Linked DNA regions of Elephas maximus indicus. The protein of the gene in region 1 interacts with the protein of each later gene in a pairwise test. Links are inferred from orthologs where the notes say so. Each region holds a gene or a part of one and is shown on either strand. Other genes may lie near its edges.

What was found.
Region 2: the proteins of KASH5 (region 1) and GPATCH4 interact in binary tests that used the Homo sapiens proteins (3 or more experiments, as listed by UniProt). The two-hybrid records come from large-scale screens. The link is inferred for Elephas maximus indicus from reciprocal best matches to the Homo sapiens genes KASH5 and GPATCH4.
Region 3: the proteins of KASH5 (region 1) and TRAF3IP3 interact in binary tests that used the Homo sapiens proteins (3 or more experiments, as listed by UniProt). The two-hybrid records come from large-scale screens. The link is inferred for Elephas maximus indicus from reciprocal best matches to the Homo sapiens genes KASH5 and TRAF3IP3.
Region 4: the proteins of KASH5 (region 1) and CDC73 interact in binary tests that used the Homo sapiens proteins (3 or more experiments, as listed by UniProt). The two-hybrid records come from large-scale screens. The link is inferred for Elephas maximus indicus from reciprocal best matches to the Homo sapiens genes KASH5 and CDC73.

Annotation. Positions count from the first base shown.
Region 1 is NC_064829.1:99,849,820-99,856,671, forward strand, and holds the start of KASH5 (protein KASH5), read left to right. Parts: upstream 1-3,845; coding exon 3,846-3,888; intron 3,889-6,852. UniProt on the Homo sapiens protein: As a component of the LINC (LInker of Nucleoskeleton and Cytoskeleton) complex, involved in the connection between the nuclear lamina and the cytoskeleton.
Region 2 is NC_064821.1:194,355,424-194,363,251, reverse strand, and holds the start of GPATCH4 (G patch domain-containing protein 4), read left to right. Parts: upstream 1-4,820; 5' UTR 4,821-5,134; intron 5,135-7,828.
Region 3 is NC_064836.1:20,811,012-20,818,467, forward strand, and holds the start of TRAF3IP3 (TRAF3-interacting JNK-activating modulator), read left to right. Parts: upstream 1-4,449; 5' UTR 4,450-4,688; intron 4,689-7,456. UniProt on the Homo sapiens protein: Adapter protein that plays essential roles in both innate and adaptive immunity. Plays a crucial role in the regulation of thymocyte development.
Region 4 is NC_064842.1:58,646,283-58,654,259, reverse strand, and holds the start of CDC73 (parafibromin), read right to left. Parts: upstream 3,015-7,977; 5' UTR 2,771-3,014; coding exon 2,640-2,770; intron 161-2,639; coding exon 55-160; intron 1-54.

The DNA.
Region 1 (6,852 bases):
GAGGAATGAAGTTTTTAATTCTTGTGGAATCCAGATTTCTGGGCTGATATTATGAAAGATTTTATGCTAATTATTTGAAATTTTAGATTAAATGGACAAATTCCTTGAAAACCACAGCTTGCCAAAAGTGAACTAGATCATCTGAATAGTTGTATTTTTTTAATATAAATATAGATATTTACATTATATTTATAGTATAAATCCAGATTTCTGGATTCCATCAAGGTTGAAGTGACCCACCCAAGCTATCACCCTAAGATGATCTTTGAGCCTTGAGCCTTGAGAAAACTGCCTTAAATCAAACAATACCCATTCCCATCAAGTAAATTCTGACTCGTTAGTAGTTCTTTTAAACGTATTAATAGTAAAGAACATTTTGCTTTGGGCATTGTGCTCTTTTAAGGAATTATCTATGTACAGTTTCAACAAAATAAACTCCAAAGGTCAAACTGGGGTTATGTCCACGAGTTATGTAAATGCTGTTTAGGCCCTATTTCCATGGCAACATATAATTACTAGTGACAAGATGTGGTATAAGAATCTTTGGACTCTTTTCTTCTTTGGAACATTTTTTACTTTCTAGTCAAAAATGTTGCCTCAATTTGTAAAACCTATGTTAAATACACTTCAATCGATTTCTATTAAAGGCTTAATATGATTTTTGTTTGCCTCTCTGAGTAAGTGACAGGTGAAATGACTGGTTGGATGAACAAGAGGTGGACAAGAGGATTCTTTTTCCGTGCCTTCTTGGGAGTCACATTTGGATGTAGTTCTCTTCCTCTCTCTAGCCAGAAAAGCTGAAAATAATTTTTCCCCCTCTCTCTTGGGAAAGACTCCTTCGGGGACCTATTAGGACAGCGTGACTGGTGCCAGGAAACGGTGCGGGAGCAGACGCAGGTTCAGGTGAGCCGGGGGGTGGAACATCATTGTGACGGTGATGGGGAGCCTGGTACGAAACAGAGGGCCGGCTGGGCACGGCTCGACAACTGATAAGAAGTGGCGGATGGCGGAGAGGCCCCTCAGTCCAATTCTCCCTTGCTCAGACCCATTTCACAGAAGTTTAAGGCACCGGAGAAGACCCCGGCGCCGCGTACCCTCCCCCCTCCCACCACCCACAAGCCACCCATCGTTCACCAGCTCGGTCAATGGGCACGCGCCCGCTCCAACCGGCTGGACGCGCGCCCCGGCAGCCCTACGCATGCGCGACCTCGCCATTACAGGTAACAGACGCGAAGCGCTCTCGCCTTTCCAGAGGAGTGCGCCTGAGCTGCGGGAGGAGGCGGGGGCGGCTGGGCGGGACTTAGACGCTGCGCGCGCGCGCTCGGCCCCGCCCCTCCCCGACCTCTTTGCTTTTTTTCTGGCGGGAAAAGCGCACGCGCACCCCTTCCTCTCCCTCCCTTCCCCTGGCGCGCAACCGCCTTTCGTCGTCAGTGGCCCTCGGCCGGTCCCGAGACGTGGCTTCAGGTGCACTCTGCGTGTGGCGAGGTTCCCCAGAATAGCCCCAGGGGAGAGCCCTTCCCGAAATCTTGGCAAAACCCCTCAAAGAGAGAGACTCTTCAATATGCCGGGGGAAAAAAAAAACCCGTTGCCGTTGACTCAATATCAGGGCCTTCCAAATCCTGTTAAGAGTCCTCTTGAACTCATGGCGGAATCCCCTCAGAAACCTTCGAAGAAACCCATCCAGAAATCTTATAGGTGGCCCCTGAAATCCTGTCAGAATCTTCTAGAAGTTCTGTCAGCCTCTCTCAAAGCCTGTCAGAGACTCCCTGAAATCCTGTTACACCCCTAATCCTAGCAGAGACCCCAAAATCCTGTCAGATCCCCAGAAAGCCTGTCGAACTCACCAAAAGTCCTGTCAGACTCCCAGAATCTAGTCGAAGACCCCCTCCAGAAATCCTGTCAAAGACTGCCCAAAATCCAGACACCTCTCCAGAAATCTTATCAAAGACTTCCCCAGAAATCCTATCAGAAACTTCCCAAAATCCAGAGATCACCCCAGAAATCTTGTCAGAGATTCCCCAAAGTCCTGTCAGAGAACCACAGAAATCCTGTCAGAGACTTCCCAAAATCCAGTCAGAGACCTCCCAGAATTCCTGCCGAGACCCCCTCCCACTGCAGCTTCCCATCGGAAGTCTTGTTGGACCCTTATCTGACCAGAGACCCCTCAAGACCTCTTCAGAAGTTAGTCCCCAAATTCTGTCATAGAGCTTCTGGCTCCTGTCAGTGCCACAACAGGGACCCTTCCTCACTCAAGCCCCACAACCATTGCCACCTTTTGCACCCTCAAGGGTTGTCCAAACCCTGGAAGGGTCTCTCTTCAAAGACCCTCTTTTCTAGGACCTTCTATAAGCCGCGGAGAAGCGTGCGACTTTCAGCTGTGGATCCCGATTGGCGCTGGGGAGAGCAGAGTGTTGGGAGTATTTGGTAAGGACAGAGGTCTGAGGAGGTGGGTTGAGGGGTTCCCCACTGCCCAGTGAGACAGAGAGCCCCCATATGGCCCTAGGGTCACAATCACATTGACCATTCACCCTGGCATGCTCAGTTCAGCCCAGTGGGCACCGTTTGGTATTGTGGAGGATCAGTCAAGTGGTAGACCTGGTTATAATGGAGGCAGCACAGGACATTGTCGGAGCACTGAGGAGTCCCAGGCTGCCCCAGGGACTCAGGGAACGTGTCCCAGGGGAACTGTGAGTGGGGCCGGGCTGGGGGTGGGAATGGCACCCAGAATATGGCCAAGGCCTGGAACGACTGGCCTCTAGCTGGGAATCCAGAAGAGGACCAGGACCAGGTATGGAGGGAAGATGCTGGACTTCCATTGCCATGATGAGGGTGAGGGACCCGGGAATGGGCTGTTGGAGAGAAAAATAGCAAAAAGAGAGAGGATGTTTCAGGGACTCCTGTGTGCAAGACCTTGAACAACAGCCCGAGGGGCTGGGATTCAGTCCTGGTGACACTAGGAAGCCATGAGAGGTTTGGGAGCAGGGATGGGGTCAAACTTGTGAGAAGCCAACAGTTCCAATACAGACTGATCTGGCAGTAAATAATGGCGGGAGCTCAGGGCAGTGTGGGGATCCAGAGACAGTGCCTGGTTCAGCCCAGGAGTGGAAATCAGAATTATCTTCCCAGAGTGGACATCCAGGCCAAAGCAGGAAGGGCTGACGAGTCAGTTCCTGTGATAGTGGCTTGGGGAAGGATGAACAGCATGCAGTTCTGAGTTGCTAGAGCATTAAGTGGGATTTGGGGTGGGGAGGTGGATGAGGCCAGGCCAGGCTCAGGAGCTGGGCTCTGTCCTGGGGGTGCTGGGGAGCCATGGGAGGGTATTGAACAAGGAAGGGCAGGTCAACTCTGGGGTCATGTGTAGAAGGGACTAGAGAGGAGAGACTGGAGGCTGGGAGACCAGAGAGGAGGCTAGGTGGAGGCTAGGTCCAGGGGGAGAGGACGAGGCCTGAGCCAGGGTTGTGGGGACAACTGGAGGCAAGGAGGCCACCCTGTTCTCCCTGACCAGGAGGCAGTGCCCCCTACTCACTAGCCCCCCGCTTTGATCTCTGCTGCCTGCGCCCCAGGCCCCCATTTTCCCAGCCCACACCTCCAGTCCATAAAACAGGTCAGAGCGGGCACTGCTTTGGTCCAGGCGGGGGTGGGCAAACAGGTTCTGAGACCCGAGAGCAGCCTGGGGCATAGGCAGGGTGGCACAGGCCCCCATCTGCGGGTGCCCAGTCGGAGGAAGCCATTCTCTGATTGTCCTTCCAGGAGCTCTCGAGGCAGCCAGTCCCCTCCCTGCCCCCCCTGTTGACGGAGGGAGGCTGTTAGCTTTGCCCGCAGCTTCAGAGCGGGCGGAGTGGCCCATGGACCTACCTGAGGGCTGGGCTGGTGGCCCTGCTGCAGCAAGTAAGTGGCTGGCTGGCGTGGGGGGTCAGTGCTGAGCAGCGAGCAGTGGGTTAACAGGGCGGGCCCCAGTGACGACTTGGGAAAGTTGGCTTGTGTGGCTGAATCTCCACCTTGGGGCAGGGGCGGGAGGGAAGGAGCAAGCAAACATTGATTAAGTACCTACTGTGTGCCCACCTAAGCAGCCCTGGTGGTGAAGTAATTCAGCACTTGACTACTACCCCAAAGCTCCGAGATTCAAACTCATCCAGCGGCTTCTTGGGAGAAAAGATGTGGCAGTCCGCTTCTGTAAAGATTACAGTCTAGAAAACCCTTTGGGGCAATTCTACTCTATCCAGCTGGTTTGGTTCACTTCGGTTCGGTGTGCCCACCCTTCTGTACACCTTGTCCTGTTTCTCTGGGGAGGCCAGACGGTGAGAGCAAAAGCCTTTGCACGCACTATTCCCCGGCCTGGAACTGCCTTCCCCAGTTACCTGCAGGTTCATCCCTCACATTATTCAGATCTCAAACCAAATGTTACCTTACTTCACAGAAGACAGCTGCCCTGTGACACTCTCTCCCTTTTTCTGCTTTGCTTTTCTTCACAGCACTGACATCTATTTGTCAGTTTAGTCTCAGTCTCCGCCACGGGAATGTGAGCAGCGCTTTGGTCTCTTTCATTCACTCTGCGATTCCCAGTCCCTAGAGCAGTGCCATCCAGTAGAAGCTAATATGCACCACATCTGTAATTTTCAATTTTTTAGTAGTCGCGTTTTTTAAAAAAGTAAAAAGGAACTGGCAAAATAAATGGCAATCATGCATTTTATTTAATCCACTATACCCAAAATAGTACCCTTTCAGCCTATAATCAGTACAGCAAATGAGATTATTTCACATTCTTTTATTCATACCAAGTCTTCAAGAGCTGGTGTGTATTTTACACTAACAGCATCTCAGTTTGCACTCTCCGCAGTGGCAAGTAGCTGCCGTATCGGGCAACATAGCTCTAGAACAATGGCTGGCACATAGTAGGAATGCAATAATTATTATTTGAATGACTGGGAGAATGCAGACCAAGTGGGTATAAAAGCTGCTTTGGGAGGAAGGCACTGGGTTACCCCTACTGAGACTCCTCAGGGGGTGTTGTGACGATGTGGTGCAGCCTTAAAGCTGGGACAGGGTGAGCGCTCCACAAATGGTAGTGATTTCAAAACCAAACTGCTCCTCAAAGCAAAACATTCCTGTTCTCGCTTTTCCCAAACGGGAAAATTGAGGCCTTGAAAGTCTTTGGCCAAAGGCCACACGCCTAGAAGTGGTAGAACCATCTAGACTGTGTTATAAGCACCCTCTGATGGCTCTCAATCTGATGTGAGGGCAGCTCTCCCACCCTTTGTTCAGTCTGAAAGGGGAGACAGGGCTCCCACCCTCTGGGAAAACCCAGTCTAAAGGGGGAGGGAGGTCCCCCACCTTTAGAAGAGCCCAGTCTAAAGAAGGAGGTAGGGCTCCCACCCTCTAGGAGAGCCCAGTCTGATGGGAGAGGCAGGGCTCCTACCATCTGGGAGAGCCCAGTCTAAAGGAGGAGGCAGGGCTCCCATCTTTGGGAGAGTCCAGTCTAATGGGGGAGGCAGGGTCCCTTTCTTAGAGGCTCCCAGCTGTCAGCAGCAGAGCCAGCTTCTTTTCCCAAGGCCCCACGCCCCAGGCCTGACTCTGGCCTCAGGAGGCTTTCCAGATAGGAATTCCAAGGCAGAGACCAGGCTGCGGAAACCAGAGGGCTGCCTGGCCAGGCTAAACTTCTCCTGCACCAGCAGAGGGCGTGCAGACACTGAGGAACCCGCAGGCAAGAACTGAAACAGCTTCAGGAGGCTCTGAGGAGAGAGAGGAACACACCCAAAGGGGGAGATGGAGACAGAGAAGGGCAGGAGGGGAAAAAGTCAGAGAGACGGCTGGAGGAAGGAAAGAGAAGGCTTGGGCAGAGGAGAGTCACTGAGAGATGGGAAGAGAAGAGAGAAGAAGGGGAGACAGGGAAGCAAATGAGGGCAAGAGACCTGGAGAGGCAAGACACAGGCGAGACAGACTGGGCGAATGAATGAGAGAAAGCCATCTAGAAGAGGCAGGGACAGAGACACAGAGAGAGACATCAAGGGAGGGTATAGATGAGTTCTGATCCTCAGAGCCCGTGGGATCGGGTACAGGGAGAAGATAAGACTTAAGGGAAAGCCCCTGGCACAGGCCCTGGCATCTCCCCTATCTGTGGGTTCCTGCCCCTCTTCTAGGCCAAACCTAGAAGCATGGGTTCAAGCCAGAGGGATGCCCAGTTTAGCTCACTGAAGAACCTCTGAAGAGTTAGAGGGATGAGAAAGAGGCTCATATGTTCAACAGGTGGCCTTGGGCAAGTCTGTAACTTCTCTGTGCCTCGGTGTCCTCATCTGTAAAGTAGGGCTAATAGTACTGACTACCCACATGGTGGGATGAGTTAATCCATGTGAAACGCCCAGAACAGGACTGACACCTGCTAAGTGCCGGCAGGAGCTTTCTGGATTTTACATCATTCCTTCCCTAGGAGGGAGGTAACACCATTCCCATTCTCCAGAGGAGGAAACGGGCTCAAGGAGGTCAAGTCCCTTGCCTCAGATGCCACCCCTTGTCTGAGGCAGAGCCCAGATGGCCCGGATGGGCCCAGCCCCACAGGTTTCTGAGGCCAGGACAGGCGTGCATCTATTGAGCACCTACTATCTGCAGGCACTGTGGATACAGCAGTGGCCAGAACAGACCCCATGACATAAGAGCTTCACATACACAGACCGAACCCATCTTACCTTCACCTTGTTGGCTGCCATTGAGTTGATTTTCAACTCACAGAGACTACATGTGACAGAGTAGGACTGCCCTCATAGGATTTCCAAAGCTGTAATCTTTATGGGAACAGATCACCAGGTCTTTTCTCCCACAGAGCTGCTGGTGGGTTCAAACCACCAGCCTTTCAGTTAG
Region 2 (7,828 bases), on another chromosome or scaffold:
AATTTTTGATCAATGCCATTCTTGCAGGGGGAAAATGTTATTTCATAGTGGTTTTGATTTGCATTTCTAATGGCTAATGATGGTGAGCATCTTTTCATGTATTTGTTGGCCACCTAAATATCCTCTTTGGTGTGTATCTGTCATGTCCTTTGTCCATTTTGTGATTGGGTTGCTTTTTATTGTTGAGTTGTTGAAGTTTTCTGAATATTTTGGAGATTAATCCTTTATCAGATATGTTGTTTCCAAAGATTTTTTCCCAGTCTTTAGGCTCTCTTTTTACTCTCTTGGAAAAGTCTTTTTTTGTGTGTGTGTGCTTTAAGTGAAACTTTACAGCTCAAGTTAGTTTCTCATACAAAAATTTATACACACCTTGTTATGGAAAATTCTTCTGATCAACATAAATATTGAATTTTTAAGAAGTTCCAGTTATCAAGTTTATTTTCTGGAGTTTGTGCATTTTTAATTATGCTTAATATTCTATTTATGCCATAAATTAGAGCCCCTAGTGTTGTCCCTATATTTTCCTTCATGAACTTTATAGTTCTAGGTTTTACATTTAGGTCTTTGACCTATTTCAAGTTACTTTTTATGTATGGGGAGATGTATGGCTCCTGTTTCATTTTTCTGCAAATGGATATCGAGTTTTCCAGCACCATTTGTTGAAGAGACAGTCTCTTCCCCCATTTAATGAATTTCTACCCTTTGTTGAAGATCAGGTGTCCATAGGTGGATGAATTTATTTCTGGATTCTCAATTCTGTTCCATTGGTCTATGTGTCTGTTGTTGTACCAGTACCAGGCTGTTTTGACTACTGTAGCTGTATAGTAGATTCTGAGATCGGGTAGTGTGAAGCCTCTTATTTTGTTCTTCTTTTTCAGTAATGTTTTACTTATCTGGGGGCTCTTTCCTTTCCATATAAAGTTGATGATTAGTTTTTCCATCTCGTTAAAGAATGTTGTTGGGATTTGGGTCAGGATTTCATTGTATATATAGATCGCTTTTGTGGTATTGACATTTTCACAATGTTAGGTCTTCCTATCCATGAGCATGGTATGTTTTTCCATTCATGAATGTCTCTTTTGGTTTCTTGCAGTGGTGTTTTGTAGTTAGTTTTCTTTGTATAAGTGTTTTATGTCACCAAAGTGGGATGTTGGATATTTTGTTTATGAACTATGTTATGCCAGTTGGGGAACTATTGTAAATAGTATTCTTTTCCTGATTTCCTTTTTGGAGTTCTCTTTGTTAGTGTAGAGGAATCCAGCTGATTTTTGTATGTTGATCTAGTACTGTGTCACTTTACTGGATCCTTCTATCAGTTCCAGTAGCTTTCTTGTGGATTCTCTGAGATTTTCTATGTATAGGATCATATCATCTGTGAATAGGGATAGTTTTACTTCTTCCTTACCAATACGGGTGCCTTTTATTTCCCTTTCTTGTTTTATTGCTCCAGCTAGGACTTCCAGTACAATGTTGAATAAGAGTAGTGATAAAGGGAATCCTCGTATGGTTCCCATTCTCAGGGAGAATGCTTTCAATCTCTGTCCATTGAGAATAATGTTGGCTGTTGGTTTTGTTGTATATGCCCTTAATGATGTTGAGGGATTTCCCTTCTATCGCTATTTTGGTAAGAGTTTTTATCAGGAATGGGTGTTGGACTTTTATCAAATGCCTTTTCTGCATCAGTTGAGATGATCATGTGATTCTTTTCCTTTGTTTCATTTATGTGGATTACGCTGATTGATTTTCTGATTTTGAACCACCCTTGTGTACCTGGTATGAATACCACTTGGTCATGTTTTTGGTTTTTTTTTATGCTCATGGATTCTATTGGCTAGAATTTTGTTTAAGATTTTTTTCATCAATGTTCATGAGGGATATTGGCCTATAATTTTCTTTTTTAGTGGTGCCTTTGCCAAAAAAAAAAAAAAAAAAAAAAAATTTTTTTTTTTTTTTTGCCTGGCTTTGATATCAGGGTTATGCTGGCTTCATAGAACAAACTCAGGAGTATTCCTTCTTTTTCTATGTTCTGGAATAGTTTGAGTAGTATTGGTATCAACTCTTCTCTGAATGTCTAGTAAAACTCTCCAGTGAAACTGTCTGGGCCAGGGTTTTTTCTTTTCTTTTTTTTTTTTATGACCTCTTCAATGTCTTCTTTTGTTATGGGTCTGTTCAGATTTTGTACCTCAGTGTTAGTTTAGGTAGGTAGTGTGTTTCTAGGGATTTGCCCATTTCCTCTAGTTTTCAAATTTTTAGAGCATAATTTTTTGTAGTATTCTGTTATGATCCTTTTTATTTCAGTTGATTCTGTTGTGATGTTGCCCATCTCATTTCTTATTGGGGTTATTTATATTTCTCTTTGTCAATTTGGCCAGTGGTTTGTCAATTTTATTGATCCTTTCAAAGAACCATCTTGTAGTTTTGTTGATTGTTTCAATTGTTGTTTCACTTATTTCTGCTCTAGTCTTTATTATTTCCTTTCTTCGGCTGGCTGTGGGCTTTTTTTGCCGCTCTTTTCCTATTTGTTCAAGTTGTATAGCTAAGGTATTGATTTTGGCCCTTCTTTTTTGATGTGTGCATTTATTGCTATAAATTGGCCTCTGAGCAGCTTTTGCTCTTTCCCAAAAGTTTAGATATGTTGTATTTTCATTTGATTCTAGGAATTTTTAGATTTCATTTTTAACTTCTATTATCCAGTGGTTTTTAAGAGTGGCATTGTTCAGTTTCCAAGTATTTGATTTTTTCCTGTTATTGATTTCTAATTTTACAGCGTTTTGATCTGAGAAGATGCTTTGCCTTATTTTCATATTTTTTAATTTATTGAGGCTTGCTTTGCGGTCTAAGATACAGTCTTTTCTAGAGAATGATCCATGTATGCTGGAGAAGAATGTGGTATTTCATTCCCTTTGATGGCTGAATAATATTACATTGTATATCTATACAATATTTTGTTTATCCATTCATCAGTTGATGGACATTTGGGCTTCCACTTTCTGATTATTATGAATAATGTTGCTATGAGCATTCATATGCAGGCTTTTGTGTGGACAAGATTATTAGCCCCAAAAGGACAAGGGTTGAATACTTTTAGATCTTTAATCACTGGTCTATGGAGCCCTGGTGGCGAAGTGGTTAAGAGTTCAGCTGCTAACCAAAATGTCAGCAGTTCAAATCCACCAGCCACTCCTTGGAAACTCTCTGGAGCAGTTCTACTTTGTCCTTTGGGATCAACTCAACAGCAACGGGTTTTGGTCTGGTTTTAATCCCTGGTCTATAAAACAAAAACAAAAACCCACTGCCGTCGAGTCGATTCCGACTCACAGTGACCCTGTAGGACAGAGTAGAACTGACCCATACAGTTTCCAAGGAGCGCCTGGAGGATTCAAACTGCCAGCCTCTTGGTTAGCAGCTGTAGCACTTAACCACTACGCCACCAGGGTTTCCCCCTGGTCAATAAAAAAAAAAAAAATAGGAGACCCTTAATAAACGTTTGTTGAATGAATGGGTCAGCAAAGCAGAGAGCTGAAGGTCCTAGGCCAGACTAGGAGTCTTAAATTAAAGGTTTACAGCCACCTAATTTTCAGAGTGGCCTGCAAAGTATGCCACACAGGAATTGTGGGCTGGAAAGGGCTCTCGAGGTTACCTCACTTAGGAGTTTTCAAAGTATTCAATGTTTGTATACATTACATTTCATACAAACATATTATAAATTATACACATGCACATTAAAATATAAAAGAGAAGTGGTAGAAGACATGGGAGTGGTAGAAGAGATGGAGGAGGGGTGATGAAAACTTAAGTCCTGTGTATGTAATTTTCTCAGTGGCTCCTCAGACACTGAAATAAAACTAAGTTTGCAAAATTATCGAACTAGTCCAATACCCTAATTTTACAAATCAGGGAAGGGGTGCTCTTGGGCTACGAGAAGTGACTTGTTCAAGGTCACACAATTAGTGGTAGAGTGGGAAAGGGACTCAGCTCACAGAATGTTCCTCTAGTGAATTTAGGAGTCCCTTGAAACATCCCACAACCCTTCTGCAAGCATCTAAAATTTCAGTAACCAAGATCCATTGTTTAAAGTATTGTCCCCATGTAACATATTTTAAAAGTAAAATTAATTTTATGGAAAAAATCTTACGGAGACAAGGGGATATGACATACTGAGCAGTTGTAATAGGAACTCTTCACTGTGAAATGGCGATTTTTCTCTTCGGAAGTTCCTAGGGGGCGCTAAGTGAAGGAAAGTATTGACATGGGGCGGGAGGATAAGAAAGATTTTAAACAGGTTTTAGTTCCTGGGCACTGTTCGGAAAGGGTGGCTGAGTGAAGCCTAAGGATAGCTTGTGGGAGGGGGGGCAGGTGCAACCCCTTTTGCTGGTTTCTTTGTAAAATCTTTTCCCCTCCCCTGCTCAGTAGGTCCTCATTACCTACAAGGCAAGTCCAAAACTGCTCAGCCTGTCATTCATTCCTGGATCCTGCATCTCTCTCTCTCCGTGCCCTAAACCCCATCTCCTCCAGTTCCACCGAAGGTCCCAACTTCCGTGGTTAGCATGGTGTTCCCCGCAATCAGGGCTCCTGTCTTAGGCATCTTTGTATCCCGAATACCAAAGGCACAGGTCCTGGGACATCGTAATGAGTCAAAAAAGTGTTTGATGAACCTACTAAAATCTCTAGCCTTTAGGCTTTTATAAATAACTTCCTATAGGCTGAGTATTCGTCCCCGCAAAATCACCGCAGAAATGCTACCTCCTTCTCTGCCATCTCTCAGGTAACTCGGTGCTTCCCCTTGTTTTCCATCTTGTGCCCAGGACTAACTGAAGGTGGGACCCGAAGCTGTTCTCAGCTTTTTGGGAAAGCCATCGTCCCTTGGCCGCTCAGAACCTGCAGAGAGGAAGCAAGCCGAACCCCTCCAGAACCTCCGGAAACGGGTACACTCCAGGGCCCAATTCCTATGGTGAGCACACAGGTAAGCTGCCCTCCATCATAGAGTTTCTCCTGGGAGGACCCGGACGTTGGTTTCCTCGGGCGTCTCTATGGTTTCGACAGCCTAGAAGTACCAAGGCAGCACTTCCGGGAAGATGGCTGCACGCATGTCATTTCTGGCACATGTTTCTACGGAGGGGATAGCGCAATGACGGTAAGGGGCTCCCATCCCTCTGAATGTTAGCAGGAGGAGCCCGGGCTCAGGAGCAAATGTGAGAGGGAGAGTGTGGTCTTACCCAAGTGCGACTGCGGCGGGAGGGCTGGAATTTTGACCTCAAGAGGAAGGAGGCCGAGGGAAAGGGCAGCCGGCTGGGTCTTTCCTTCAGAAAACTCAGGTTGACCGGAGAGAAGAGTGTCTCTAAGTGTGCTCGCAGCCTTTGCAAAGACTGCGGCTCACAGCCTGGGTGGGACCTTGTCGCGTCTGTCCACAGTTACCCATTAGAACAGTTCCTACCTATGTGTCATTCAGTTCAACGAATACGACTGAACACATTATCGGTTCCTGGCGCTTCATTAAGTGCTCTGGGGTTGGGGAATAAAGCCAAAAGCCAGCCTCTAACTTCCAGGGGGTGTAGTTTTTAATTAACTGCGACAAGGGGTAGGGTGTGGGCAGCCTTATGGCAGCAAGCACAAGGAGCTGTAAGAGACTGAAGACTGTAATAATTAAGAACGGCAGTTCTGAAATGCCTGAGTACTAGTGCTGTATCCACTGTTTGCTAGCTAAAGTGAAACCTGTGAGAGCCGGAACTCGACAGAAACTGCCTTGTGTTTCCAGGTCTCTCAAGTTTTACGCCTTTGACAGGGTGCACTCTTAATTAACACTTTTCTGTTGCTCGGCTTAGTGGAAAATATATGAGTTTTCCTTCTCTGATATGGGTTCCGGCTTTTGCAGGTTTTACTGTATTTGACTTGAGCAAGTAACTAACCCTTTCAGTGCCTGGTTCCTCATATGTAAATTACACCTAATAACACCTAATAGGGTTGTCGGGAGAGTTAAATGAGATAGTCCACGTAAAGCTATTAGTAACAGGCTGGCCGGCATTGAGTAAATGGGCAACAAGTTTTAGAGGTGGTTTTCACTATTGCAGTCTAGGGTTTGAGAGGTCAAAGATGTCTTCTGGCAGAAGGCGGAGTTTTGAGACTGCCTTAAAAGCTTCCATGTTTGAATTTTACTTCTTATAGTATCAAGAAGCAAGATAAGGCCACTTCTTCGCGCAACACTTCTGTTGGGACTCAAGGTATCAGTTAGGTCTTCAAGTAATTGACCTTCACGATAGAAATGTGAACAGTGCTCTGAGTTATCTGAAATGTGTGTAGAATTTGGCCCAAAGAGATTGGTCACCATTCTTATCCCTAACTGGAACTCTGGTGGCACAGTGGTTAAGCATTTGGCGGCTAACCAAAAGGTCGGCAGTTCAAATCCACCAGCCACTCTTTGGAAACCCTTTGGTGCAGTTCTACTCTGTCCTGTAGAGTCACTGTAAGTCAGAATTGACTCAACGGCAGTGGGCTCTTGCTTAGGAGGGTTGACTATAATGCAACCAATTTTTCTAAACATACTATGAGACTGTCTTTAAACTCAAATGAAAGTTTTATTACCCTTTAGAGTTGTCACTTTGGGAGGCTAAGAATTATTCCAGTGGTGCCCATTAATTAGCTTTAAACATTGTCTACAATGCCTGTAATAAGTGAACAATCTACAGATCTTAGTACGAGTTGACTGTAGTAAGTCAACATTAGTAGTCTTAGTTTTGAATGTCTTGTGCCATCTTAACCACTTTGGAGAAATTCCGTATGTAAGTTGGATAATGCCATTGTGGGTCCAGAAGGAGAAACACTGCATGTAAAGAAATGCAGCTTAGTTATTCAGTAGAAAGAGGACTAACTTTGGAGTCAGGCAATCTGGGCTCATATTTTAGCTCTATCTCTTACTAGCTGTGTAACGTCAGACAGGAAACCCAGGCCTTGTTTTCCTTATTTGTAAAATAAGGGCAACCTATCTTGCAGAGCTGTCAGGACATGTGTAATCTACTTGTTAGGCGTTACAAAAAAAAAAAAAAAACTCTTGCCGTCAAGTCGATTTCGACTCATAGTGATTCTGCAGGCATCACCAGTTGCCATGAATTCTGACTCATGGTGACACCATGCATATCAGAGTAGAACTGTGCTCCATAGGGTTTTCAATGACTGATCTTTTGGAAATAGATTACCAGGCCTTTCTTTTCAGGTGCCTCTGGGTGGACTCAAACCACCAACTTTTCAGTTAGCAGCATAGCTCTTGATCTGTTTGTGCCACCCGGGGACTCCCTTTGTTACGCATTAAGTGCTAAATAAAAATGCCTTAACTAAGCTGGACAGTTTCAAAAGGGGAGCTCCAAAAAGACTGAAAGACAGTGGCAGTGTGGGAATAGGTATGTAGCCCACACACTGGAAAGACAGTGTAAATGCTGGAGCATAGGTAGGGACTATGGGTTCTTAGAATAACTTAACAGGCACCTGATAGCTTTGTTTAACATAGTAGTATATTTTGGGAGATGTTACCAAGTAGTGGTGAAGAGTGTAGACTGCAGATAAGACTGCCTGTGTTTGAATTCTACACCCATTAGCTGTGTTACCTTGAGCAAATCACCTGAGCTCTTTAGGCCTTAGTACAATAGGGATAATAATACTTTCCTGATAGGCTGGGAAGATTACATGAGGTAACCCATGTAAAGCCTTAGCAGAGTCTAGCATGTGGTAAGCTCCCATATATTTAGTTATTAACATTGGAGCCCTGGTGGTGTAGTCGTTAAGAGAGCGGCTGCTAACCAAAAGGCCAGCAGTTCAAATCCACCAGTTGCTCTTTGGA
Region 3 (7,456 bases), on another chromosome or scaffold:
GGTCGCTATGAGTCAGAACCAACTCGATGGCACCTAACAACACCATTTCAAGAGTAAACAGGGAGAATTTTTTTCCAGGCTGTTGAAGTATTCATTTCTTCCTATTTATGTTATTTATGTCTAATTTTATTACACTTTGGTCAGAGAATCCAGCTATAATACATTTTTTTTTTGTTAGTGTATTCAGGTTTGGTTTAGATCGATATGGTCAATATTTGAAAATAAGATATATTCTCTAAGTCCAGAGTTCGTTCTCTGACCCTCTTTCTCTCTGGTTCTTCCTTGACGAATAGATAAGACAATCTTATTAATTGTATTGTTCTTAGAGCACAGTGTTAAGAGCACAGGCTCTCATGTCAAGCAAACCTGGGTCCAACACTTGCTGTGTGACCTTGAGTACATTACTAGTCTCTCCAAACCCCAGGTAAAGTAGGTATAGTATGGTATAGTATGCCACTGAGTGTTGCATAGCCCTAAAAGAGCTTTTGATTTTTGTACACATTTGTTTTTTATTTCTAATGAATTCCAAATAGTTGGTCTACAGTAACTCCTATCACAATCTCCTATGCTCTCTTATGCTCTACTGCCCTAGGCTCCCAGAGCTCTCTCACTTGTTTATGCCAACAAAATTCTCTCTCTCATTCCACCATCTGTCCTTTACTCATTCTCATCCCCATATGTCATGCTCCAAACACATAATCCTGAGGGAATGTTGTCTTCTGTTCTAGTGCTTTTCTCTCAATAATCCACCCCCTGTGCTTTCCCTGTATCCCTTGTCTTTTTTCTCCTCAAAGAATGGTGGAAGAAATAGGAAAAGAAGATTGTGACAACCCCACATATGTATGTTAATAGATTTTATCTTATTGCAGCTATTTAATAGTCTCATTCCTTTACAAGTCACACCTCACATGTATCAAACCTTAGAGTTCACAACCCAAAAAAACCATTGCTGTTGAGTGGACTCCGACTCATACCAACCCTATAGGACAGAGTAGAGCTGCCCCATAGGGTTTCCAAAGAGAACCTGGTAGATTCAAACTGCTAACCTTTTGGTTAGCAGCCATAGCTCTTAACCACTATGCCACCAGGGTTCACAGGAGCCATATAAATCATCCGACCACCAAACTAAATGGATCATTTAAACAAGGTGAACTGCACAAGGTTACAAAGCTACTCAGCTAACTTGTCCCAGCTCAGGTCCTTCTCCAATATTTTATGCTGAATTTCTTGGGAATTTCCTGAATATAAAATTTGTAATGGTTTCTTTTTAATGCACGCAGATAAGTTGCTTTTAGTTTTTCTCCAAGCAGTCCATCTGACTGGGAGAAAGAATGTTTTACAAAATTCTGCCAGCTTAACAGAAAAATAAACCTAATACAACTTGGACAAAGGACTTGAACAGTTCACCAAAGAGGACAGTCAAACAAGCACAAGAAAAGATGCTCAACATCATTAATTGTTGTTGTTAGACGCTGTTGAGTCAGTTCCAAACTCATAGTGATGCCATGTACAACAGAACCAAACACTGCCTGGTCCTGTGCTATTCTGACATGTTTGAGCCCATTGTTGCAGCCACGGTGTCAACCCATCTTGTTGAGGGTCTTCCTCTTTTTTGCAGACCCTCTACTACTGCCTTTCAACCTGAGGGGCTCATCTTCCAGCACTATATCAGACAATGTTCTGCTGCTATTCATAAGGTTTTCACCGGCCAGTTTTTTCAAAAGTAAACCGCATGGTCCTTCTTCCTACTCTTAGTCTGAAAGCTCAGCTGAAACCTGTCCACCAAGGGTGGCTCTGCTGGCATTTGAAATACTGGTGGCAAAGCTTCCAGGATCACAGCAACACACAAGCCACCACAGTAAGACAAACTGACAGACGTGTGGTGGCATTAACCATTAAAGAGATGCAAATCAAAATCACAACGTGATATCATCTCACCCTTATTAGAATGGCAATGATAAAAAAGAAAAGAAAAGAAAAAAAACAGGAAACAATAGGTATTGGTAAGATTGCAGAGAAAGTAGAACTCTTATCCACTGCTGGTGGGTATATAAAATGGTGCAGCCGCTTTGGAAAACTATTTGGCAGTTCCTCAAAAAGCTGAACATAGATCTACCATATGATCCAGCAATCCCAATCCTAGGTGTAAACACGGAAGAAGTGAAGGCAGGAACACAAACAGAAGCCTGTACACCAATGTTCACTGCAGCACTTTTCACAATAGCCAAAAGGTGGAAACAACCGAAATGTCCCTCAAAAGACAAAAGAAAAACAAAATGTGCTATATACACACAATGCAATACTACTCAGCCATAAAGAGAAATGAAGTCCTGATGCATGCCACCACATGGGTGAACCTTGAAAACATCATGCTGAACGAAATAAGTCTGTCACGAAAGGACAAATACTGTATGATCTCACTTATATGAAATAAGCAAATATATAGAGACCAAAGATTATTAGTACTTACCAGGGGTGGGAGTGAAGGAGAAGGAGGAAATTTTTGCTTAGGGGCATTGAGTTTATGTTAATGGTGATGGAATGATTTTGGAAAACATAGAGAATGATTGCACGACTTGAATAATGTAATCAATGTCACTAAATTGTACATGTAGAAACTGAGTTGGTGTATGTTTTGTTACATGTATTTTCATCACAATAAAATTTTTTTAAATATACAATGGAAAAGAGACACAGACATTAGGAAAGATGGTCATGTGAACATAGAAGCAGAGACTAGAGTTATGCATTTACAAGCCAAGTGTTATGAATTAAATTGTATTCCCAAAAAATGTGTGTCAACTTGGCTAGGCCATGATTCCCAGTGTCACGGATTGAATTGTGTCCCCCCAAAATATCTGTCAACTTAGGTCATGGTTCCCAGTATTGTATGACTGTCCATTTCATCATCTGATGTGATTTCCCTATGTGTTGTAAATCCTATCACTATGATGTAATGAGATGGATTAGTAGCAGTTATGTTGATGATATCTACAAGGTTAGTGTCTTAAGCCAATCTCTTTTGAGATACGAAAGAGAGAAGCGAGCAGGGAGACATGGGGACCACCGTAGAAAGCAGCACTGGGAGCAGAGTGTGTCCTTTGGACCCAGGGTCCCTGCACCTGAGAAGCTCCTCGACCAGGGGACGATTGATGATAAGGACCTTCCTCCAGAGCTGACAGAGAAAGCCTTCTCCTGGAACAAATGCTCTGAATTCGGACTTCTAGTCTCCTAGGCTGTGAGAGAATAAACTCTCTTTGTTAAAGCCATCCACTTATGGTATTTCTGTTATGGCAGCACTAGATAACTAAGACACCCAATATTGTGTGACTGTCCACCATTTTGTCATCTAATGTGATTTTCCTTTGTGTTGTAAATCCTACCTGATGTATATGAGGCAGGATTAGAGGCAGTTATGTTAATGGGGCAGGACTCAAACTACAGGATTAGGTTGTAGCTTGAGTCAATCTCTTCTGAGACATAAAAAAGAGAAGTGAGCAGAGAGACAGGGGGACCTCATACTACCAAGAATGAAAAACCAGGAGGGGAGTGAGTCCTTTGAACCCACAGTTCCTGCACTGAGAAGCTCCTATAATGGGGAAAGATTGAGGACAAAGACCTTCCCCCAGAGCTGACAGAGAGAAAAAGCCTTCCCCTGGAGCTGGCACCCTGAATTCGGACTTCTAGCCTCCCAAACTGTGAGAGAATAAACTTCTTTTTTGTTAAAGCACCCACTTGTGATGTTTCTGTTACAGCAGCACTAGAAAACTAAGACACCAAGGAACACCAAAAATTGCCAGGAACCACCAGAAACTGGAAGAGGCAAGGAAAGATTTTCTCCCCTAGAGCCTTCAGAGGGAACATGGCCCTGCTGATAACATGGTTTTGAACTTCTGGTCTCCAGGACTGTGAGAGAATAAATTTCTATTAATTTAAGTGGCCTAAAAAAGAAAAAGATTCTGCCCACCATTCCTCCCTTCATTCTTCAGTTACCCACTCACCACCTTTTCACTCCCTCCTCATTGCTTCAAAAAGAAGCAAACCCACAGTTGAACTCATTTCAAAATTCTGAGGAAGACAGCAGGTACTTTAGAAGAGTGGAAACTCTACAACACCAGGGTTGGGGAGAGATGACTGAAAGAGGGAGAAAAGCCTTATACAGAGAATTACCTGATACACATGAAGGCCCACACTGGGAGCACCTCTTCTAGGTCCCACCACCCAAATGGCTTTTTTCCCCTTAAAGAAACTACAGGGTTTGAATCTGATCCAGAAGTCCATCCTTGTCTCATCCTGGAATGGGAGCTTGACTTGTGAGTGGAGTAGCTCCAGCCAATACAGTAGCAAGAGAAAGGGTGGCTGGGGTGCCCACTGATGGGAGGAGCTCCTGAGCCCAGCCCTGGAGGACTGAAGAGTTCTGGGGCCCACTCAAATCGTGCCAGAGAGCAAGAGAGAGGAACTGGGGTTTATGAGTACTGTGGCTTTGTCTGTTTCCTGTTTCAGCAAGGCTGCTGTAGAAAAAGAAAGACATTACCAAGAAGGGAAATGCCGATGGGGCCCAGGGCCACGGACTGAGAGCTTGCACTTCACTCAGCTGCTGTCTTACCCCATCTGAGACCAGAGCCAAGATCTGCCCAGGAGCTGGCATGCTTTCCTGAGCTGTTGGGGCTGGAGCCTGGTACCCAGAGGTAACTGATAAGAAGGATGCTTTTGCATCTAGGTTTGAGGCCTCCAACTCTGGGGGGGGGGGACAGAAGACAGAAGATATTCTGTCATCCAGGCTGCCCAGGGCGGAAGAGGGAGACACAGAAGTGGGTGGCATAGTTTAAAAGAGTCATCGATTTCAGTAACCAAGAAAGGGCCCTGTGTTGATTTTCAAAGGCATTAGCCACAGCACAGGGGTACAGTATCCATCCCTCCTAGATTAGAAGCAATCAAAAGACTTAGGGGATGCCCACAACATGAAGCAGCTTAGATGTTGGCCCTTCTCTCCTCAGCTCACACTGAGAGCTCTGGGTAAGCAAGGCCAGACCTATGCAGGAAGCCATCTGCTGTCTGCTGCACACACATCCAGGAAGCCCCTCTCGAGTGAGGTGCAGTCGCTCCGAATTTTTTTCTCTGTGGCAGAGAGGGAGCCTCACCCACCCAGCACCACCTCTTCCTCCAAGTTCCAATTGGGCCCTGTCATGCTACCAAGGGGCACCCAGAGATGCCAGCAAGCCTGGGCAGCAGCCCAGTGACCTTTCTTTGAACCCCACAGGGACCAGTTCCTTTTTCTTCTACAGCCCATCCTTGTCAATCAGGCATCCCACATGGCTTCTTGTTTTTAAGCAAGTCAGAAAGGTTTAGACAAGTCGGAAAGATGGGTATGGTTCTACTTGTCTGTGCCACACCGGATGTAGGGGTCTGGGGACCTGGGAGGTCTGCTCTAAGGAGCCACTTCTACTGTGACTCCCCTCTTGGACGATGAGTTCCGGTATCTACCCCTCTGTCATTTGTTCGGTGCACCAATGTACCCAGACTAGGTAGAGAACCCAGACAGACCCATCTCAGCTCCCCGCCCTCCCCCACCCACCCCACCCCTGTCTCCACCCCCACCAGCCCTTCCCTCTTGCGACAGGGAGGTGGGAGGATTCTGAATAAGGGGATTCGCCTCCACTAAAAAGCCTGAGAGTAACCTGGGGCCAAACAGGGAGGGGAACCAGAACTTCACATTTGATGGGTGGGATTCAGGCAGGCTGGACCCCAATTCTTCACCCCCACCTGTTCTTCCTGTCTGGCCTGAGACTGTGGTTGTACCAAGACGACAGAGGAGCCCTTTCTCCTGGTGGCCCAAACCCAAAGGCCAGATAAACTGGAGAAGGACATTTGATTTCAAGCTGGGGCATCCTCTCAATTTCCTTCAGAGAAAGAGAAGGTTCAGAGAATTAGAGAATGAGGCATTCTTGGTCCTGGAAGAGGGCTAGGTTAGCTTGGGGTCTTTGTCTTTCACCAACGAGCCTTCAAGAACACCCAAGATCAGAATAAAAAAAAAGAATGGCAGGGGTAATAATTAAAACACCTCATATAAGGCTAACATTTTCTGTGTACTATGTGCCAGGTGCTTCATATACATTTTCTCATTTAATCCTCACAACCCTACCAGGTAGATTCTAGCCCCATTTTATAAATGAGGAAGTTGAGGCCGAGGGAGGTTTAGCTGCTTGTCCAAAAAAGTGTAGGTAGAAGGTGACAGAGCCAGAAAATGAATCCACACAGTCTGACTTCAGAGCCAGGGCAGAATGGTTGCGGTGATATGGCTTAGGGACACCACGAGTATAAGTTCGCACAGAGAGCTGACATGCAAATATTCCTGACTCTCCTCCATACCTTAGTACAGATGGGCCACTCAGATATTTTACTAAGTTTTTATAGAAAGAAGTGACTGGTAGAAAGTCAAGAGACTCCCACAGAATAGGGGTAACAAGTCTGAACAAAGGGGATTGCTGTTCAGGGATAATACACAGAGGACAAACATTTAAAAAAAAAAAAAAAAAAACTTCACAATTCATTGTGCCCCTCAAACTCTGGAGGGTCAGGCATTTGAGAGCATCCAGGGCTTGGCCACCTAACTCCTCTCAGGCAGTGAGAATTTCGCACTCATGACTCTGTGAAATGAGGAGCATGATCAGAGAGAGAGAACAAGAATCCTGCAGAGAATTCCGGACTGAGCTGGGATGAGCAGCAAAGTTTCAATAAAGGGGCAGAGAGGCTGCTACCTGTCCAGTCTGTTTGGCCTATAAATAAACATGAGGGCCCATCTCGAAAATTCCTTGTATCTGGTGAAGCTGAGATTCCCTTCCCTGGCCTGCCCAGGAATTAAGGTTCCCAGGGTGGTGGTAGTGAAGTTTCGGGAAGAAGAGAAGCGGTGGCTGTGAGGGGAGATCCACTTCCTTCATCAGTAGCTGGTCTGACTCCAGGGACCAAAAGAGGGAGGACAGAGTTGCCAGTGTTCAGGGTACAGCTCATCCAGGTACACCCCAACTCAGCAAAGCCACCAGAATGTACTACTAATTATGCACATTTGCAGAAGGTACGTGTGGCGAGTAGGAAGAGAAGGAAGGAGAGAGAAGGGTTTGGGTGTTATGTGAACGGCAAAAGGTGAGACCCCGCAAAAGGTTCTCAAGTCTTCTACACTGAGCCTGGGTCCCTGGAGACCTTTGGTTACTTCGAGTTGTTTTTGTTTTGCTTTTATTTATAATATCTTTGTTGAGGTATAATTCATGTGGTTACTGGTTTTGATGGGGCTCTCTACACTTGGGTCCAGGGAGATTAGTGGGCTAAGGAAAGCAGTCTTGGCACCAGCCTTAGCTCTAACAGGGAGGTAATCGCTCCTACAAAAAAAAAACCCAGAAGCCTCAGTTGGGAGAGTTAACGAGCCAGAAGCTCTGAAATGGGTCCTGGCAGCACTGGACAT
Region 4 (7,977 bases), on another chromosome or scaffold:
AAGTAATATCTAACATTAATTCAAAGAAGCAATTTTAAAATAAATTCTACTTACGGCTGCACGTCGGACATACACAGGATGAGAAAGGTGTACATTGTTAAGAAGAAATAAGATAGAATCCAACGTGTAATACTCTCTGGGTTGGCCTTCCTTTCCAGTCCTAAAATCATTAAGGCAAGATTTTTACCAACAATTCTAATTCAACAATTTGAGCTTAATTTAAGGTACTCATTTATTTATACCCACTTTGCTGCTTAACAATGGATTTAAAATAGCTATCCAAAACACACTAAAGTATATAAATTGACTACTAAGTCAAACTGTTTTTAGGACAAAAAGAACACAAAGGAAAACGAGGAGAAAAAGCAAGAAAAAAGGAAAGCACGCAAAATTCACGCTCTTTGGTACTATAAACTTTTTAGAATTAGGCTCAGAACTTTGTCAATAGCAAGAGAAACCTAACCAGTTACAGATAAGGGAGAACTTATATGAGAAACAACGAAATTGTTAAGGAGAAGCACAGCTATGATTGGTGCTACAACTTAAGACAATTTTATCTTACGGCTCTTCCTAAAGTAGATACTGCTGAACAACATCCTCAACAATTCTTACAGTAACCGACAATGAATTTTAGAGGTACGCTTCTTACGACACCCCTCAGATTAGACCAGTGACGTTACCCAAAATGCAGCCGCACCTAGGGATGCAGCCTCTCTAACTCAAGCATATTACTTGCCAAACCAACGTTGGCGTCTGATCCCACTCCTCTTACTTCATTCTCCCACCCAGAAGTGAAATGGTCAGTATATTATTAGAATTCATCTGAATGCAGCCCACTGCAATTAGCCCTGAATCTACTTACCTAGCTTCTATTCCTATTTTTCCTTTAAATCAATGTATTTCAAGCCACACATCGCTATGCTATGAAATCAAATACTGTATGGGTAACTACCAGGCTTTCTTTGTTTTTGGTGATATAGAAAAGAATAGAAAAATAACAATGCACTGCATGCAACAAGAGCTTTAATGTTATATCTATTTACGTAGCTATAAAAATGTTAACGTTTGCACGTATAGATATATATGAATGAAAATATATTTCTTGGTTTGAGTCATTGTTCTGAAAGTTTGAAACCTACTGTTCTAAGCATGCTTTTTTCACTGTTATTGTTATCTGTGAACACATTTACTTTCCAGCTCTCATGCCTCTATACATGCAGTTCTATCATCTTGGAAGACCTAACCCACCGTTTTACTCACAGAATTCCTGCCCGTTCTTTAAAGATTATTCATTTATTCAAGAAAAATGTATTAGAAACCAACATGCCAAACTTACATCTATGAAATTTTTCCTAACATCCACCCGACTGAAGTGACTGCTTTCTTTTTATGAGACAGAAAACACTTCACATCAATTTATGTTATCGTCTCTATTCACATTAAATAAACCTCCTCTGAGGCAGGGATCAAGGTCTTAAGAATTTTTCTATTTCTCACATTGATTATTGAACTGCCCTGCACCCTGGGTATTCCTAAACCACTTTCCTAGAGAAGAAAAAAAATTAAAAATTCAATCATATGTAATCTTGTCCATGCAAATTATTTTGTAAAGATTAAAATAAAAAATTTCTTTAAAACTTCCCACAGTAAACTGAGAATGTCATTTCACTCACATTTCATAAAGCTAAATTAAATCATAAGACCTCGAGATAAAAATAAAAACAAAAGAACCAACCAACAAACAAAATTGCCCTTAACTTCTGGGCAACTCTTCATAAAGCCCACTGCCCCGCTTCACTCTATCTTTCCCTCAGTCAAACAAAGCTGGATATGGAAGTCCTGGTTCAAGGTTCTAACGCCCAAAGGAAGCACCAAAGAAAAGTGGCGTCACTATTTTTTTTAATGATTATTAGACCTGTCTCTGGATGTTTCGCTGAGTGATTTAAATTCAAGAAACCCCACGTGGATCAACGTTCCAAGCCATTTTTCTTTAACTCACACTTCCCAAAACCATGCGCATCTTCAATTTCTTAATTAGACCTATAAAACACTCACTCCATTCCACTACCAACTTTTTCCCTGAGGAAACGCCTGCCTCCGCCTCCAACACAGATTTTGACGACTCTTCCAAATTAATCTAAACCGCTTCCCACCTAAACTTCACAGAGTTGATTCCCTTCTCTCTTAAGGGATAACCCCCCTCTCCAACACGAAAGGGGAAGAAATAAAGCAGGAGCTGCAGGGCCAGGGGAGACAGTCACCACACACGGCAGCATCAAAGAAGAGAAATAAAGAACAAACAGGGACGTCCCCGGCACCAAATGATGTGTTCCTTTGTGCACCTACGCTCAGGTGTACTTGTGCACCAGCCCTACACATTACGGGTACTCGATACATACCTACAAAAATGAACGAGAAAAGTCACCTTCTTCTATGGCTTCCCCAATTCTAAAGAGGTGGGTCGCTCCAGACACAGCGTCTCAGCCCAAAGTGCAACTTCTGCTCCGGACAGAAACTTTTCGCCCGAGCACCCTGTTCGTCCCCGTCCCCAGGGGAAACGGGAGGAGGGCTCAGCAAAGAGGTCACTTGGGGGCGCCCAACTCTTCCCTGCCGCCCGGCCACGGCCATACCGCACTTACCCCCACACCACATAGTTGGTCTTGACGTTCTTGGGCCAGGAGAACTCCCCGAAGATCACTTCGTCTCCCTTCACCACGATCTCCTTCTTCTGGATGTTGTACTGTCGCAGGACGCTGAGCACGTCCGCCATCTTCCCCCCCCTCGCCGCCGCCGGACCCGGGCGCCGCCGCCGCCGCCGCGCCTGCCTCCGCCTTCCTCCGTCGGCTCGTCGTCCTCAGCGGCCGCCGCCGACGCTGCCGCGAACAGACAGCGGAGCAACTAGCAGCCGCCCTCGCCTACGACAGCAGCGGGAGCAGTAGCCACCCAGGCCGCCGAGGACCCCGCGCTAGAAGGCAAAGGCCCCGCCGCCGGCTGCCCGCGGAGAACGCCTGACTGCACGCCTCCGGCGCTGCGGGCCGCCGCCAGGGGGAGCCGTGAGCGCCCGGGAAAATGCCCCTCCCAGACTTCCACTCGACACCGAACGCGGAGCGCAGGGACTCTGTGCCCACGTACGGCGCACGTACAAGGAGTATTGCCGGTTACCCGCGCACGCGCGCGAAGCACGTACTTCATCCCCCGCAGCGCGCACTCCACAGGCGACAGGTGCGCGCGCACCTGCGTGGCTGGTGTATCCTTCTCTCCCTGGAGCACTCGCTGAGCCCTGTGCAACCTCTTTGGGGGCGGCCAAAGGCTCTCGCGTCGCTACTTTGCGAGGGTGGAGCTTGGCCAAGGATTTGCAGGAAAAGTAGGATTACCTTCCCATCTAGATATGACCTAGATCTACCAAAAGGCCTCTAAATGTGATCCAGATAAACTCCTTTAGAAGAGTTTTTTTCGGTGGACTGTCTTAGTGGAAAAGACCGAGTACGGCAGACCTCAATTCCGGGAACCACTATTTATTAGCTGTTGTTTGAGTTTGGTCAAATTACAAACGTTCTCACAGCAGCACCAATTGGTTTAATGGATAAAATGGGATTAATATACAGATATTAGCTTCAGGGATGTTATGAGGATTGTATGAGAATAAGGTGAAAGTGTCTACTAAATCATCAAAATAACATAAATGTTCTCTTTACACCCTCCATTCCATACATGGAGTCCTGGTGGCACAGTGGTTAAGAGCTATGATTGCTAACCAAAATGCTGGCTGTTCAAATCCACCAACCGCTCCTTGGAAACCCTATGGGCAGTTCTGCTGTGTCCTGTAGGGTAGCTATGAGTCAGAAGGGACTCAACTGCAATGCTTTTTTTAGTTGTTTTAATTCCACACATGACTTTCCCCATTTTGGCCCTTTCCCTCATCCCTATTCCCAATGGGCTACAAGGGCCCTGTTCTGAGATACTAATGGAAAAGTTAAAAACCAGGAACCCGAAACTGTTGTCAGTAGAAGAACACTTTCAGACAACCTGATTTTTGCTGGCACCCAGAAGACTCAATGAGTGTCCTACCAGTGTTGGGAAAGTTGAAATAAATTCAACCTGTGTACTCTAAGCAAAATGTATATCTTGGGTCCCATAATTTTGTTATAATTATTCTTTCTACTAAAGTAAAAGGGGGAAAAAAAGGAAGGTGATTGACACACCCAAATTCCTTCTCCTGATTTGAAAGAAATAAATTTTTGCTATGTGCAATAGGAGATGATATAAAAGTATGTGGTTCATTGCTGTACTATCTGTAGTCATTCTGCAACTGTGAATTTGATACATTTTACCTGTTTTGCACATGTTCTCATGTTCTCACCCCTAGGATGATTTCCTGAATCTCACTCAAAACAAACCCACTCTAACTGACTACTGTCTTATCCCTACACAGCCTACTCTATTCATACTTTGATCAGTGCAGCCAATATTACTTGACTGCCCTTATTAGTTTACTAACCTGTCTTTATCTACAAAACTAAAGGGCTGTAGACCTTTACTGTCATATCCTAATACCTTGCACATTATTTAGCATATAACATGCCCTACTATTATGTCAGTGTGTCATACTGTAGTGGCTTACATGTTGCTGTGATGCTGGAAGCTATGCCATCATATTTCAAATACCAGCAGGATCAGCCTTGATGGACAGCTTTCAGCAGAGCTTCCATATTAAGGCAGACTACAAAGAAGGACCTGGCAATCTATTTCTGAAAAAATTGGCTATGAAAACTTAACAAATAGCAACAGAACATTGTCTGATATATTGCCAGAAGATGAGCTCCTCAGGATGGATGTCACTCAAAATACAACTGGGGAAGAGCTGGCGCCTCAAAATAGAGTTGACCATAGTGACATGGATAGAGTAAAACTTTTGGGACCTTCATTTGCCGATGTAGCACAATTCAAAATTAAGAAGAAAAAGCTGCAAATATCCGTTAATAATGGGAACGTGGAATGTACAAACTATGAGTCCCGGAAAACAGGAAGTCATCAAAAATTAAATGGAACGCATAAAGATCAATATTCTAGGCATTAGTGAGCTGAAAGGGACTGGTAATGGCCATTTTGAATCAGACAATCATATGATCTACTATGCTGAGAATGACAAATTGAAGAGGAATGATGTCACGTTCATCATCAAAAATAACATTTCAAAATCTATCCTGAAGTACAACACTGCCAGTGATAATATCCATAAGCCTATAAGGAAGACAAGTTAATATGACTATTATTCAAATTTATACACCAACCACTAAGGTAAAAGATGAATAAATTCAATATTTTTACCAAAACGGATGTCAGAAGACTCTGAAACTTGCACTTGAACATAGACTACATAAAGCAAATGAAGAAATGACGAACTAAAGGAACTGAAGATTTCAAAAGGCAGCTCGAGAAGACAAAGAATTATAATGAAACATGCAAACACCTGGAGTTATAAAACCAAAAGGGAGTAACACACTTGGTATTTCTCAAGCTGAAAGAACTGAAGAAAAAAAGTCAAGCTTAGAGTTGCAATATTGAGGAACTCAATGGGCAAAATATTGAATAACGCAGGCATCAAAAAGAAGATGGATGATGGGGCCAAGATGGCGGGGTAGTCAGACGCTTCCGGTGATCCCTCTTACAACAAAGACCCAAAAAAACAACTGAAATGATTATATATAGGACAAGCTAGGAGCCCTGAACATCAAAGGCAAAGTTAGGAAATCAGACTGAGTGGCAGGGGAGGGAGAGACAGTTCAGAAGCAGCAAGGAGTTGCCAGACCTGACTCTATGGAAACCAGCAACCCTCAGGCACGATCCACTACAGCAACCGTGGCAGGGCTGGCTGTAGCGTTCCAGATGCTGCTTACTCAGGGAGAGACAGTGCACTGCACAGTCTACTCACACCTCCGGAAGCAGAGAAGAACAGCACTCTTGACAAAAGCTAAGTATTGCGTTTATTTTACCATGAAACCAGCCCTCAAACTGGCTTCAGTGGTTGTCGAGATCCCTAGGCCTGAGATAGGTCTTACTGCACGCCTTAGCCATTCTCCCAGCCATGGAGAAGGAATAAATTAACAATTAGGGGGAAAGATAATCTGCCAGCTCCACTAAGATGGGGGGCTCAGGACAGAAGCAGCTCCTGTCCAGGCACAAAGAGGCTGCAGACTTCGAATAACTTTCACCCCTATGCAGACCCGTGTGGGCCCATTTCAGGAGAATAGGCCTTTGTTGGCAGACTGCAATGGTGTATGTGCTTGAGATCTGGTTTCAACTGTTTCAACTGTGCAGTGGAGGGGAAGGTTTTGGTCTTTGACAGCATTTTGCCTGTGAAACAGGGTCCTCAGCAGCCCACATCAGGGGCTTGAGGATTGGTGGCTCCACCCACATCATCTAGTCACCGCAACAGGGGTCCAAGGATAAGTGGTGCCTCCCAGTCCTTACAACCAAAAGCATTAGGTGCCCATGGTCCAGCTACAAAACCCAGCCACCTGTGTGCTCTAGGGAAGAATCAGTCTTTCCTCACAGATGCTTGGGAGATAGTTGTCAGCCCCATACCTTGTTCAAAGCATGACCCCCTGCTGCAACCAGATACCGGTACCTACACCAATCACCCCTGCCCCTCTAAGACTGTAGGACAGAGTCTGTATCACACACTTGATGACCAACTACCTGGACACCTGAGCTGAACCCATACAAGAAAAGTGAATGGGCTCCTAGGCTCATAAACCTGGTGACAGCTCTAGCCACTGGTCACAGAACGTTAGTGCTTCAAAGGCAAAACTAATCAAGCTAGCTCATTCACATAGCCTATTTTGGCATATCAAAACAAAACAAAGAAGCTAGGATACAGTAAACAAACTTAAAATAAACTGATATAATAGCTTAAAGATGGCTTGGAGACATCAGTCAATAACAAATCACATAAAGAAGCAGACCACGATCACTTCAACAAGCTCTAAAAACAAAGAATCAAGGAATCTTCCAGATAAAGATATCTTTCTGGAACTGCCAGATGTAGAATACAAAAGATTAATATACAGAACTCTTCAAGAAATCAGGAACGAGATCAAGCAAAACGCAGAGCAAGCCAAGGAACACACAGATAAAGAAGCTGAAGAAATTAAAAAGGTTATTCAAGAACATAATGAAAAATGTAATAAGCTCCAAGAATCATAAGATTAACAATAAAATTACAGATATGAGAACTCAATAGAAAGTCAGCAGAGCAGAATTGAGGAAATTGAAGCCAGAAATAGTGAGATTGTAGATAAAACACTTGGCACCTGTGTATTTGAAGAAAAATCAGATAAAAGAATTTTTTAAAAAATGAAGAAACCCTAAGAATCACGTGGGACTCTATCAAGAGACATAACCTATGGGTGACTGGAGTACCAGAACAGGGAGGGATAACAGAAAATACAGAGATAATTTTTGAAGATTTGTTGGCAGAAAACTTCCCTGATATTGTGAAAGATGAGAAGATATGTATTCAAGATGCTCATCAAACCCCACAAAAGGCAGATCTCAAAAGAAAGTCACCAAGACATAATCGAACTTGCCAAAGCCAAAAATAAAAAAGAATTTTAAGAGCAGCTAGGGATAAATGAAAAGTCACCTACAAAGGAGAGTCAATAAGAATAAGCTCAGACTGCTCAGCAGAAACCATGCAGGCAAGAAGGCAATGGGATGACTTATATAAAAAATTGAAGGAAAAAAATTACCAGCCAAGAATCATATCCAGAAAAATTGTCTCTCAAATATGAAGGTGAAATTGGGACATTTCCAGATAAACAGAAGTCTAGGGAATTTGGAAAACCAAAACCAAAAATATAAGAAATACTGAAGGGAGTTCTCTGGATAGAAAATCAATAACATATCAACCCAAGTTTAGTACACAGGACAGAGCAAACAGTTATCAACCCCAATAGGGAAATCACAAAAATAAAA